Pelodiscus sinensis: one gene and its partner. The protein of the gene in region 1 interacts with the protein of each later gene in a biochemical or structural test. Links are inferred from orthologs where the notes say so. Each region holds a gene or a part of one and is shown in the gene's direction. Other genes may lie near its edges.

Evidence for each region.
Region 2: the proteins of DNAJC3 (region 1) and THAP12 form a complex in vitro, tested with the Homo sapiens proteins (2 studies listed by BioGRID). The link is inferred for Pelodiscus sinensis from reciprocal best matches to the Homo sapiens genes DNAJC3 and THAP12.

What each region holds. Positions count from the first base shown.
Region 1 is NC_134711.1:251,329,795-251,337,547, reverse strand, and holds the start of DNAJC3 (dnaJ homolog subfamily C member 3), read left to right. Parts: upstream 1-4,695; 5' UTR 4,696-4,850; coding exon 4,851-4,932; intron 4,933-7,753. UniProt on the Homo sapiens protein: Involved in the unfolded protein response (UPR) during endoplasmic reticulum (ER) stress.
Region 2 is NC_134711.1:318,773,761-318,780,764, forward strand, and holds the start of THAP12 (52 kDa repressor of the inhibitor of the protein kinase), read left to right. Parts: upstream 1-3,953; 5' UTR 3,954-5,829; coding exon 5,830-5,927; intron 5,928-6,891; exon of another isoform or gene 6,892-7,004. UniProt on the Homo sapiens protein: Upstream regulator of interferon-induced serine/threonine protein kinase R (PKR). May block the PKR-inhibitory function of DNAJC3, resulting in restoration of kinase activity and suppression of cell growth.

The sequences.
Region 1 (7,753 bases):
TTACCCCAAATAAAACCAAACAATTTATTTTTCAAAAACAAAAAGTGTAGTTTATTGTTTCTGTAGGGGAGAAAGGGAGGGCAGGGGAAGGGAGGAGTGTGGGAGGAAAGGCAAAGAGGGATGATGCACAGGCCCCTTGTGGGAGGCTAAGGGGAAAGTGTCAGCAGGGTCCTTGTGTGAAACTCTCTCTCAAGACCACCCGGATGCACACAGCCCCCTGATGGGCCTGCCGGATAGCAGCCATGTGCAGCTGCCCAAAGGCTCTGCCAATCCAGTCAGCCTCTGCCTCCCATCCTGAGAGGAACATCTCCTCCCTGCTTTCACAAATATTGGACACTGCGTGGGGGATTTTCCCTTTCCCGACATCCAGGCAATTGAGGAGGCAGCGGAACCTCCCCTTCAAACACCTGATTTGAATTTCCTGGGCTTCATTTGCATAAGCCGGGCGCCGCCATTTTTAAATCCCGGCTGGTTCGAACCCCGTGCTGCGCGGCTACACGCGGCACGAACTAGGTAGTTCGGACTAGGCTTCCTAGTTCGAACTACCATTACTCCTCGTGGAATGAGAGCCTAGTGCGAGTGAGTGTCTGTGTTTGAGAACTCCTCCTAAACAGTAGGAGCGAGGACTGCCAAATTTGCTATGCAGGTTCCTCCTATAATAATTTAAAAGCAAGGTCAGGGTTTGGTTGTGCTAGGACAATGGGATGTGCCTGGAATGTGATTTCTTCTCATAACATGGAAAGGAAGGGTTCTGCTAGCAGGGACAGTTATGCGTATAATGACCACATGGGAGCAGCAAGGGGCCAGAGATGGGAACCAGGACAGCTATATTCCAATTGGGGCAGCAGGAGACTTGGGTGGAGAAATAGATGGCCATGTACTAAAAATTTGAGACAGTTTGTGTGTCTGTCTTGTCTGTCTGCCACCCACCCAGCGGACATGCAGCCTCCCCTGACTGTGCAGTGGCCATGGACAGGAACTTCTCATCTGGCTCCAAGCTGCTGTGGTGAGAGAGGGCTGGGGTAATCCTCTCACCTTGGGACAGCCTGCATACTGAACTGCTCTTCTCAAGCCTCACCTTGAAGGTCTGAAGCTTGTCCCCCGATTCACATGGGGACATGGCTGTCTGTTCCCCTTCGTCAGGGAACAGTTTGCTGCATTCTTCACTCTTGCTGGGGAGAGCAGAGGCAGATGATCCTGAACCTGCCCCAGCTGGGGGACATATGTAATGCTGACAGGCAGAATCCAGACTAGGACTTCTGGAGCTTAGTGCATGAACCTCTGATTTATATCCTGAGCTAAAAGGCTCTCTGCTAAGGCTATAAACACATTCTTTTTCTCTGTAAGTGGTCTAAATGTCACTGTATTGGACATTACACCACACCCAGAAGGTATGTGGGTTGCACATACATCCCTCCCTCATCTGTGCCCACTGCAGCAGCCAGAGAGAGGCACTTCTCACCTGGCCCCAAGCTGCTGCAGTGAGAGGGGGCTGGGATTGTCCTCTCTCCCTAGGGCAGCCTGCATACTGAACCTCTCACTGAACATCTCATCCCCAGCCCCACCAACCTTCCCACCCCCCAGGGGCCATTTACAGGGCAGGGATGAAGCTCCCCCCGCCCCATTCATACAGAGAAATTGATGAACTGAGCAATGCTGGGTAAATCTTGTAGTGGAAATAAGTAACGTAACTCAACTTCCAACATTGCAATGATGCACTGTTTTACAATAGTCTATACTGTTTATAAGAGATAACATTATTGTGGGACAATACACACAATTGGAATATTGGCATAGAAAGGTATAGCTTGCTCAGGAAGGAAAGGCAGAGAAAAAAGGGAGGAGGTGTTGTCTTATATATTAATGTTTACACTTGAACTGAGGTGGAGATGGACATAGGAGTCTCTGGGTTGGTTAACAGTGGTTTAAAAAGGATAATAGTAGGGGTCTACTACAGATCACCTACCCAGGCAAAAGAGGTGGGTGAGGCTTTTTTTAAACAACTAGCAACATCATCCAAAGCACAGGATTTAATAGTGATGGGGGACTTTAGCTATCCAGACATTTGTTGGAAAAACAACACAGCAGGGCACAGATTATCCAATACATTTGTGGACTGCATTAGAGACAATTTTTTTTATTTCAGAAGGTTGAGAGAGTGACTGGGGAGAAGCTGTTTTAGATTTGATTTTAACAAAAGGCAGGAACTGATTGAAAATTTGAAAGTGGAAGGCAGCTTGGGTGAAAATGATCGTGAAATCATAGAGTTCATGATTCTAATGAACAGTAGAAGGAGAACAGCAAAACAGAGACAATGGATTTCAGGAAGGCAGATTTTAGTAAACTTAGAGAGCAGGTAGGGAAGGTTCTATGGGAAGCAAGACTAAGAGGAAAAACAACTGAAGAGAAATGCAACCTAGATGGGGCTACTATAAGGTGGGTGCATAATTGGCTGGATAACCGTTCTCAGAGAGTAGTTATTAACAGTTCACAATTCTGCTGGAAGGGCATAACGTGTGGGGTTCCGCAGGGGTCTGTTTTGGGACTGGTTCTGTTCAATATCTTTATCAATGATTTAGATGATGGCATAGACAGTACGATTATTAAGTTTGCATATGATACCAGGCTGGGAGGGGTTTCAAATTCTCTGGAGGATGGGGTCATTCAAAATGACCTGGACAAACTGGATAAATGGTCTGAGGTAAATAAGATGAAGCTTAATAAGGACAAATGCAAAGTACTCCACTTAGGAAGGAACAATCCATTTCACACATACAGAATGGGAAGCGACTGTCTAGGAAGCAGTACTGCAGAAGGAGTTCTGGGGGTCATAGTGGACCACAAGCTAAATATGAGTCAACAGTGTGACACTATTGCAAAAAAAAAAAAAACAAAAAAAACATGATTCTAGGAGGCATTAACAGGAGTCTTATGAGCAAGACACAAGAAGTCATTCTTCTGCTCTACTCTGCACTGATTAGGCCTCAGCTGGAATATTGTGTCCAATTCTGGTCACCACATTTCAAGAAAGATGTGAAGAAATTGGAGAAGGTCCAGAGAAGAGCATCAAAAATGATTAAAGGTCTAGAAAACACGAGCTATCAGGGAAGAGTGAAAGAATTTGGCTTGTTTAGTTTAGAGGAGAGGAGACTGAGAGGGGACATGATTGCAATTTTCAAGTATCTAAAAGGTGTTACAAGGAACAGGGAGAAAAATTTAAAAAACAACAACAAATAGCCTTGCAGCACCTTAGAGACTAACAAAACATGTAGATGATATCATGAGTTTTCATGGGCACAGCCCATTTCTTCAGATGAATGGAACTATTAAAGGTCAAGTTTCCAGAAAAGTGAAAAAACAGATGGACAGGGCCAGAAGAGTACCCAGATATCAGCTACTTCATTGTTCTTCTTGGCCTCTGATGATAGGACAAGAAGCAATGGGCTTAAATTGCAGCAAGGGAGGTTTAAGTTGGACATTAGGAAAAACTTCCTAATTGTCAGGGTGGTTAAACACTGGAATAAGTTGCCTAGAGAGGTTGTGGAATCTCCATCACTGGAGATATTTAAGAGCAGGTTGGATAGACATCTATCAGGGATGATCTAGAATCTATAATTTTCCTGATTTGAATAAATTTAACAGGCACAAGTTACTTTGATAAGTTATTGCAAATGTTTATTTACTACTACTATTGCGTACAGATGCGTGCTGCCTTATATATACCCCACTACCAGTCACCGCGCAAGACTGGCTACCTACTCCCACAATAGAACAGTCCCGAACACCCCTGTGAGCATGCTAGAAAGTTTGAAAAAGTTCCATCGCCTTCTACATCGTTCTTTGGCCTCCCCACCGACCGAACCGGTACCCCTACATGTCAAAAGGCAAAAAAAAAAAAAAAAAATTAAAATTTGCATTTCGTGGTATGAAATTTGAAAATTAAAAAATTGTGCTGATAATTGTTTTTATGAAAATTTATCAGCCTTGCGCCCCCTTGGAATTTCTTCAACCCACCCTCCCGGCAGGTGCGCCTACCAATTTAGGATCCGATGATCTAGATAGTGCTTGGCCTTGCTGTGAGGTCATGGGACTGGACTTGATGATCCAGTTCTAGTATTCTATGAATACAGATTTTTAAACAGAGGGAAAAAAATCACTTCCAACGTATCTGGTGCCTCTTAAAGCCTGGCACCCTAATTAACTGACTGCCTAGTTCACCCGTATGGGTTGGGCTGGCCCTGCTTCCACTATGCTATGACCAGCAACCTGAGGCTTCTCCTCCTGAGACCTCAAATCCCAAAATCCCTATCCACTAAAATGACTGTAGCATATGCTGGTGTCTCAGGACGATTCTTCTTCCTTTCTGTGGGTCCTGGCCCCAGAAAGACTCAGGGCCACTGAGTTAAGATTTTGGACCAGATTGGGGCTTTAATGACTCATCCCCACTCAGCTGCAAAGCCCTGACACTCAAAGCAGCCATACAAGCCTCTCGCATTTGTTCCCTCCTGCTGCTGCTGCTGCTGCCCTTCACGCTTCCCCCTCCCAACACCCACCACGTTCTTTTGACGGCTGAGGGCACAGTCTTTAACTGGCAGCTTCAACTGTGGCTCCTGCGCATGCTCAACCCCCCCCATAGACACACCAGCGCGCAAGCGCGATGCTGTCAAGGGAGCGGCGCCTGACTAGTCCTCCGGGCTCTCCACGTTTCCCAAGCAGGGGGCGGGGCCGGCGGCGGCGGCGCAGCCAATCGGAGGCGCCCACGATCCACCCCAGCGAACTTGGAAGTGGAGTCGCTGAAGCCTGCTGGAGGCGCGTGGCCGGGGGTCCCTTCGCAGCCGCGTGCTGTAGCCATGGTGTCGGCCAGCGCGTGCCTCGGCCAGCTGGGCGCCGTGCTGCCCCTGCTGCTGGTGCTCTGCGACCTGCTCGGCGAGGGTGAGGGGCTGCGGGGCGAGCCTGCCCGCGCTGGTGCACGGCGCTGCACGCTGAGAGGGGGGACGGGGCGGCGGCTGCTGCTGCTCATCATGTGGCAGGTGTCGTGGTGCTGAGTTTGGGGGAGGTTTACACGGTGGGGTGAGCATGGGGCAGAGCAGCGTCTGGGCCCTGGGCGTAGCGCCGGGTTGGTGCAGGGACGCCGCCAGGGTTAGAATTGGGGTCGGGGTTTGGTTTGGTGAGTGCAATGAGATGCTCACCACAGGGAAGCCCGCATTTCCCTGAGCGCTCTCACGTATCCCCACATCACAGGGTTACCTTCCACAGGAACACCCTTGAGTAGTATGCTGAGGCTTTGAGGGTCTCACTGCCGCAGCCTTGTGCTGGCTGCTCTGGCATGATGCCTCCTGTCACGGAGAGCATATCTGTGCTGGACTTGAGGGCAATGCCAGCCTGTGCGTATTGAAGGGAAAGAAAGCTGTGATGGGCAGGGACTCTAAACTGGAGTTGAGACTGTTGCAGGCACACTGTCCTTAAATTCTGGGCACAACTAGAGAAATATGACAGTAAAAAAATAGAAAAGTTTGTAACTTCTAGTTGGGGGCTGCAGACAGTCACTTTGAAAACAATAAATATTTCTTAAAGTTCTAACTTCAAATAGATATTCAGAAAAAGATGAAAATAACAAATGCAGCATCATCATTAACTGTTTTTAAATATCCTCAAATTAATGACATTTCTAGCTTTGTGTTGTAGCTTTGTTTTGTTGCACTACAGTAAGTGCAGTTTTAATTTGGTTTCTATTCTTAGTCAAAAGAAACTAGGGAAAGATTTTAAAAGTGTGAATTTAGCTTAAAAAGTGGCCATGTGGAAATGGTATTATAGATTTGTTCAATATTCATGTAAAAAGACTTCTATTAACTTCTAGCCCTGTAAGAATGTTCTCATTTCTGGTAATCAAGTTAGGTGCTTGTTGTTTTTTTTAATAATTCATTACTGCCAGGAGTAGTAGTTCTTCAGAAGAAATTATTCCCTCCATTACACTTGTGCATCTTTTTAAGTTTCAGATTGTCACAAGTAACATCTGTGTAATCATAGAAAGCTAACGGGATTGCACAAGTGTTTGTGAGGGCATAGTTTGAAAATAAATTGTACAGATGCACCAGAAGGCACAATTTGGCTGCAATTTTTTGTATTATTGTTTGTAATGAATAAAATAGGAGGGGGTGGCTGTTGAATTGTAAGAACTCAGAGTGAATCTGGACCTTTCTGTGGGCTGTGGTCACTTTGGGTTGCTAACTTTCTACTTGCACAAAATGGAAAACACTTATTATGCCTTTCTCAGAGGCCTTCCTCTGAATTCTCTGTCTCCCCTCCTGTCTCTCCCCCCCCCCCCCCCCCCCCCGCAAGTTGTATGTTCATTTTCATCAGTTTGGCTCAGGGATTAGGGTATGGGGGGGGAGGCTCAAGATGAGGTTGTGAGCCAGGTTTGAGGGATTTGGGAGTGTAGAAAGGTGCTCTGGGCTGGGATAAATGGGTTTGGAGAGGATCAAGGCTAGGACAGGGGGTTGGGGCCCAGGAAGGGTGCAAACTCTGGGCAGAGCTTACCTCAAACAACTCCCGGAAGCAGCCAGCATAGCCCCCCTCTGGTTCTTTCACAAAAGTGCAATCATGTGGCTTTGGGCACTGCCCCATCTGTAGGTACTACCCCTACAGCTCCCATTGGCCATGACTCCTACCTAACAGAAGTGATGGGGTGGTGCTTGGAGCCACAACAGAATATGGAGCCCCTGACCCCCTTATGCATAGAAGCCAGAGGGGGGATATGTTTCCTGGGAGCTGCCCAGTGCAGAGGCTAGCAGGGAGAGCCTGTGCGGCACTGCCGACTGGACAGTAAGAGCTTAGAACCGCCAGGATCCCTTTTTGATCACGTGTTCCTGTCGAAAATTGAACACGTAGTCACTTTATGGTCACTCTGGAGGTTAGAAATGCACTTCAAGGTTGTGTTAAATGAGAACTCTAAAAACTAGAGTGTACTGGCTTCCTGATAATTTAATATTGAATGTAATGTGACAGTAGTTTATGTGCTGCTACTGTACTGTTTGCTCCCCCTGATACTTCTGCAGTTATGTTAATGAAACTGTACTAATGCCAGAGGAATCGGTGTAAGCATTTGAACTTGTTTTTAAGCATCTGTAGATAATTCATCTTCCAAATCTGTTTCCAAGTAGCATGGATGACCTTAGTGCTTTGCTGATTGTGGCCTTGGTAGTCACAAGTTTACTTTCTAATTTTGTATATATTTTTCCTAATAGCAAGCTTTATTATATTGTAAAAAACTTTTCCCAGGGAAGGGTGCCGCTTTAAACCTATTCTGGACAAAGCACTCTTACTTGGAACAATTCTACAGACATTAGGATGGCCAAAATATGATCTATTCGGTTTCTCTTATCTCTAATTTCTGTGTTTAAAAGGTTACTTCATAAGAGATTATGTTAGTATATGTGTAGTTAATGTAATACACAACTCACATTTTCCATAGCTGTAGATCATTTTGTACAGGTACACTGTACATTTTTAGTTTCTTCTTATTCTTGATACAGCGCTAACAAAGTTAAATAATGAAATAGAGATTTATAAACAGGGAGGGTTGTGAGGTTTCCACCCTCCTGGAGGCTGTGTTAATCTCTTCTCTCCTGGAACAGAAGCTGCATTTTCAGTAACAAACTGTCCTTAAAACCAGAGAGAGTATTGGATTCTCTTCCAGGACAGTACTGAAGATGGGGGGGAAGAGATGATGCTGGAGTTAACTGTTGTAACTGAT
Region 2 (7,004 bases), about 67 Mb from region 1:
CAGCGCGTGCGCGCCACCCCGCTGTCGGGCGCGGTGCCTGGTGGGAAGGAGGCGGCTCTGTCCCGGAGGAGGGTGGCGGTGAATCCTCCCGGCCGCTCACAGCAGTGTAGAGCCGCTTCCCCTCCCCCCCCCCCGCCCTCCGGCCCGGAGGGAGCGCGGATTTAAAGGGGCAGGGACCCGGCACGGGGACCATGCCGAACTTCTGCGCGGCTCCCAACTGCACGCGCAAGAGCACCCAGTCCGACCTGGCCTTCTTCCGCTTCCCCCGCGACCCGGTCAGGTGAGACCCGCCGCGCTCCGGCCTGGCGGCTCCCGCGGGCGGGCTGGCCCGGCGGGGAGGCGACCCCGGGAGCGCGCCCGGGCCCAACTGCCTCCCGCCCGCCTGCCTGCCCGGGGGTCGCTCCTCGCCGGGGGGCCGGGCCCGCCAAGGGCTGCGCGGGGCGGGACGGGCTGGAGCCGGAGCCGCTCGCCTCAGTGAGCCCGAGGAGGCCGCGCGCGGCTCCCGGGGGCGGGGCTCCGGCCAAGCCTCCGGCCCGGGGCTGGGACTGGGAGGCGGACGGGCGGCTGCGCAGACACGGCCGGGGGCTCGGAGTGAGTGACGGGAGCGGGGCGGGGGCAGTGTGGGCCGGGCCGGGGCTATGGGGCAGAGCGGGGTCGGAGTGTGAGGGGGGCCGGGGAAGGCGGCTGCATGGGCGGTGAGGTGGGCAGAGGCCTGGGGGGTGTGTGAAGTGGGTAGGGGGCATGAGAGCCAGGTAGGAGGGTGAAGGTGACAGCTAGGAGCTCCCATTGAAAACACCCCGTCAAAGAGGTAAACAGGCTCCTGCAAAGCATTGAACTCCCTAGTGTATCTTGGTCCTAACTGGGCTATGCATGTCAAAGGCCAGTTAGGTTTTTTTTTTTTTCCTAGTCTTAACAAGACACTATGGCCAACATTTTCACGGGTTTGGATTGTCTCTCTTCTTGGTAGCTCACCTGAAATTGCTTGGGCCTCGGTTTTCAATTGTGGCAACTCCAGATGAGTTCAGTGGGAATTTATGGATGCTCAGCACTTCTGAAAATCAGCTCCAAACTGTCCCAGGATGAGCACTCTCCTCACTGAAGTATCCAAATGCAGTGGCTGCTTTTGAAAATGATGTTGAAAGGCAGGTTATCAGACTTGCTGTCTGCTTAATATATAGTGGTCAGAACGCATTCCACTCACCATGTACAGCCTGCAGAATTCTGTAACCTGGTATTTGGTAAATCTACCCTTTAATATACTGGAAGAGTTGGCACTTGAATCTGTAGTCCTGTGTTTCCTGTACAGATGTTAAAATGTGTTTGTGTAAACATGTATCTGCTGAAGTTTTCAATAGGTATGACACAGGAGATGGGAGAGGTGGGAGCTGGCTCCCATGAGCACTGGCTCCCATTTCCCTTCCCCCCCCCCCTTGCTGCCTCTGAAGGAGGTAGCAGCTGGGGGGGGGGGGGAAACTGTTGCTTGGGGCGAGAGGGGGGGAGCCAGCTTTTAAACCAGCTTTTAAAGCCAGGCAGTTCCATGCACTGACTCATGTCACACTCTCTCCCGCCCCCACTGCCTCTGTATCGGAGGCAGCGAGGGGGAGGGACTGCATTTAACCAAAAGGCTTTTTTTACTGATGAGCCCAGGCTCATTGATTAACCATGTTCTTGACTACACTGTATCATCCTTAATCTGCTGATGTTGCACCACCTCCAGTCTACCTCCTTCATCAAGATAGAATAGTGCTTGTTGAAATCCATTGTGTGTCATGGTGGGCAATACTTTTTGATGGGTGGGTATCCAAGACTTTGAAAAGTGGTCAAGAGCTGCAGTCTTCCATGTTAATGGAGGAGGTGTGAAGTTTTGGATGGAGTTAGGGTACGGAAGAGAGCTTGCTGTAAGGGATTGGGATGCAGGAGAAAGTGTGAGGTCTGGGAGGGAGTTTGAGTGAAGGAGGCAGTTGAGACCTGGGGAAGGGAGCTAAGATGCAGGGGTTTGGGTTTTGATCTGGGACAGAGGATTGGGGTGCAGGATTTGGGAGGGGATATGGGAACAGGAAGGGGGGAATAGGGTTTGGGTTATGTGGGATGAAGGGCAGAGGGTTGGAGTGCCAGAGGCAGGCTCTGCCTGGGAGACTTACCTACTTGACTCCTAGCCAGCAGCCTTTTCGAGCAGACTCCCTGCCCTGCTCCCTCAGGGGCCATGTAGTTTTTGAATAGCTAGGAGCCTGAAGGGAGAGGGAGGGTGCTCTGCAAGCTGCTAGCCAATGGGATTGTGCTAGGGGCAGGGGCAGCACATGAAGTCTCTTCCCCCTCCCTTGGGCTCACAGCTGTTCATACAGAGCCCCCACAATGGTTGCTTTTCTCAGCAATGTGCAGGGGCAGGCAGGGAGTCTGCCTGAAGCTCTCCACTCCATTTGCCGGCCAGATCTGGAGGCTTGGCGGGCTGGATCTGGGCTGCAATGGGTATTTTGCCCAGGCATGATCTATGTAGACTACCTTTTTCTACTGAATAATGAAGATGGCTACAGTTTCTGCAAAATCAAGGAGATTTGGTGCTGTCTACAGATGTTAGATTAGAGAGTAATCAGCTACTCGACCACCCGCTAAAAATATAAGCTTATCAGGTAGTCTGGTGGAGCACTCAACTACTGGCTTCACTCCTTCCCCCTCCCCCCTCCCCACCGTCTCTGTATGAGAGGCAATAAGGGGGGAGGGACAGGAGACATTGCTGGAGGGAGCTGGCTTAAAAACCAGTTATTCCCAGCACTGTCTCTGTGATGCCACCCTCTGCCCCACTCCTTTTGCTGCCTCTATCTGAGGGGAGGTTGCTCCACCAAGCAGCCCCTGTTTGTAGTGGCCCAGGCTGGCCACGTGAAGGGGCTGCCCTGGCTGCTGCAGACGAGCTGCTGGACTCAGTGTGAGCCAGGAGTGACCAGTTCAGCTTGTGCTGGTCCAGGACACTGCGCCTCTGCATTTTAAATACAGTAACATCCTGGAAACTCTTAACATATTTAAAATGCAAAGCTGCAGCGTGGGTGGCTTCCCCGAGCCAGCACGAGCTAGGACTGCTCAGTCTCGGCTCGAGGTGGTTCCGGGAGCTTACCCCCACTGTGGCTCTGCAGAGCAGTGCTTATTGACTAATCGTGTAGTCGGTACAAATTATGTGGCTGACCCCTGTGTGGTCAATACATGGCATGCATGCCATAAGTGGCACGCAAAATGATTTTCACTGGCACATGAACCTCCCCACCTGATTTGGCATGTGGAAAACATTGCCCCCCGCCCTCCTCCCAGCTCTGTGCATTGCCATTTCCCTTCTCCCAGCTGGGAAAGGCTCATACTAGCATGGTGCAGCAGCAATGGCCTCCATACCCTCCCTGCCCGCCCCTTCCCCCCCTCCCCGCACACACAGAGAACATACATTTTGGGCGCTTTGCCGGCAGGCAGCTTTGGTGTTTTCTGGTGGCATGTGGTTTCCAGAGTCCAGAGGATTGTTTGAGTCCCAGCAAGCCACCGCCACCTGGTGCAGCTGCTCCAGTACTGCGTGCTGCACGGCCCCCTCCATTCTCTTGTGGGCCTGCCTCTTCCACGCAGGGCCCTGATCTGGCCGCACAGCCACTGCCTCCTCCAGATCGCTGCCTGTTATTACAGCGGCTGCCAATGCTGCCTTTGAATGTGGGAGGCTGCCAGGTCAGAGGCAAAATCCAGTGGAGTCGCTTCTGGACCTCAACACCTTGGAGCTGCCGCTTCAGCCCTGGGAGGGGCCACGTGGAGCCTCTGGCTGGGGCACTGCAGGTGCGCTCCATGTGCTGCTGCTCACTCTCCTGCCGCCCCTTTGCACCCCGCTGGGGGAGTGGCAGTGCATGGAGCTGCTAGCTCTGACACTCTCTGCTGAGAGTTGGGTCTGGTGAGGAAGCTCAAGGCTTTCTTCACACCTCTCTTGCCCCCCGCCCCCTCCAATACCCTCTGAGCAGGAAGCCAGAGCTGGTGTTGCAGCCTCCTGGCTGAGCAGGCTTCCTGCTGTGTGTGTGTGGGGGCGGGGTCACAAATGAACTCCATCCCCCTCTCCACCCTGCTGGGGGAATGGCAGTGCAGTGATGTGTGAGGCTTTCCCAACTGCAAGGCTGTGGGAAGCCAAGTAAGCGTCTCCCCTCATGTGCAGACACCCACACCCCAGTCTCCCTCACTTACTCCCCTTCCCCTGCCAGGATCCTGCACCACCTAGCTTGCGCCAACACCCTCCCTTGCTCCTGCACCCTCCCTCCTAGTCAGGCACTCCCTCCTGGTCAGACATCCTACCCCCATCCTACTCCTACACCTTCCCTCCTGGCCACACACTGTATCGTAGTTTCCTCATACTCCCTCCATCTAGCCAGACAACCTACTCCCAGCTTGCTTCTGCACCCTATCGCCCATCCAGACCTCACAATTTATCCCCCTTCTGCACCCCATCTCCTTCCCAGCTCCTGCACCTGTTCCCTACATCACTCACTAGCAACCCTGTCTCACACACTAGACCTCTCATTTTTGTCCTTATCCCAGACTTAAGGGGATCCATAAAATCCACTAATTCTGGAACCCCAGAAAAGTAAATTTGGCCTCTGAGAAACCCTGAACCTCAGTCCTCCCTGGCCCTTCCCTTCACCCTGTGAGGCTGGAGCGCCAGAGGAGTGAGGTGTCTCAGTTGGGGGCCACATCAGTGAAAGTTGGGGATTTTTGGAGAAGAATTTTTTATTTCTCACTTGTGTGGTCCCTAACTGATTTTTTTTCTGTGGATCAGTGGCCCTTGACCCGAAAAAAGCTTTTTTCCTCATAGAAAGAGGTTTACCAATGTCAGAACAACCCCTCTGTTCTTTCAATTTTCTTTCGAAAGAACGCGATTGCAGTGTGGATGTAAGTGAAGTTTTTTCGGAAAAATGGCAATCACTGGCGATATGTAAGAGTAGGTTAGACAGACATGTATCAGGGATGATATAGACCGTGCTTGGTCCTGCCATGAGGTCAGGGGACTGGACTTGATCTGTTGAGGTCCCTTACAGTTCTAATATTCTATGATTTTGTTTGTAAATCTCTCCACACCCTTCTTAAAACATTTTTGGAGAATGTAGTGTGTCTTCTCTGTTCGGGGCAGAGATAGTCCCATAACCACTGGGGATCCTACCAGAATCAATATTTTTTTAAGAAATCTAGACCAGTGTTTCCCAAATGGTGTTCCATGGAACCCTGTGGTTCTATGTGAAAATAAGGGTTCCTCAAGAAAATTGCACTACAATAACATTTTATGATTTAACATTTTTTTTGTACACACTAAATGTGACTTTTTGTTTTTAAATATGTGCAGTTAAACTAAATGTTGATCTCATGACCTTGTTTAGCATTTGTTTATTATTTTATCCTTACTTATTTGTGGCCTACTTTTTCAACTCCATATATAAGACTGCTATTAGGGGTTCGGCAAAAATTTTTCGAGTTTAAAAGGGTTCCGTGGCCAAATAAAATTGGGAAACACTGATCTAGACTAAGTGTGAAAAATCTGAGCTCAGCTGGAAACATTTGGGGAGTAACTAGAAGTTGGATCAGTTGAAGTAAAATATCACTGAAAACAAGACTTCTATTAGAAGTAACTCAGAAGGAATTCTCCTTAGTGTCAGTCATAATGCTGTAATTCTGTACAGTCATCTCTGGTCCTCTTTGATTTTGTTTAGGTTGGGGCATACATCAAGGAGGAGCTGGTGGATGTAGAACATCTATTTATATGATAGTGACCCAGTCATTACTCTTGTATGGGTTTTGTGTGGATTTTCAGGCATTATACCGTATCTCAGAATGGCCATACTGGGTCAGTCCATTGATCCATTTAGCCCAGTGCCCTTTCTTCTGGCAGTAGCCAATACCAGATGCTTCAGTGGGAATGAACAGAACAGGTAATCATCAAGTGATCCATCCTGTCTCCCATTCTCAGCTTCTTACTTTCACAGCATCCTCTGGTAAAGAGTTCCACAGATTGTGTGAAATATTTCTTTTTGTTGTTTTAAACCTTCTGACTATTAATTTATTTTGGTGACCTGTAGCTCTTATTATGATAGAGTAAATAACACTATTGAATCACCTTTAGTCATCTCTCTTCTGAGCTGAAATGTCCCATTCTTATCAATCTCTACTGCCAGGGAGACTTTTCCATATCCCTAATCCTTTTTATTGTTCTTCTCTGTACCTTTTTGAGATGGGACAAAAAGATCTGCATGCAGTGTTCAAGATGTGGGTATCAAGTATCAGAGGGGTAGCCGTGTTAGTCTGAATCTGCAAAAGCGACGAGAAGTCCTGTGGCACCTTATAGACTAACTGAAGTGTAGGAGCATAAGCTTTCATGGGCAAAGACCCACTTCGTCAGATGCATGCATCTGACGAAGTGGGTCTTTGCCCACGAAAGCTTATGCTCCTACACTTCAGTTAGTCTATAAGGTGCCATAGGACTCCTCATCACTTTTGCAAGATGTGGGTGTACCATGGATTTATATAGAGGCAATATGATATTTATTGTCTTATTATCTATCCTGTTCTCAATGATTCCCAACATTTGGCTTGTTTTTGTGGCTGCTGCTGCACATTGAGTAAATGTTTTCAGAGAACTATCCACCACGACTCAAAGATCTTTTTCTTGAGTGTTAAGAGCTGATTTAGACCCCATCATTTTATATGTATTCTGTTATGTTTTCAAATGTGCATTACTTTGCATTTATTAACATCAAATTTTAATTGCCATTTTGTTGTCCACTCAGTTTTATGAGAGCCTTTGTAAGTCTTCACAGTCACTCTTCACTCAATTATCTGGCATAGTTTTGTATCCTCTATAAATTTTTCCACTTCACTGTTTACTCTCTTTTCCAGATCACTTATGAACAGGGCTCGACAAATCATGTAATCTACTCGCCTGTGGCGAATAGATTACAAGCTGGCACAGCCGGCGCAGCATGATATGCGCATGCACAGCACGATCTGCA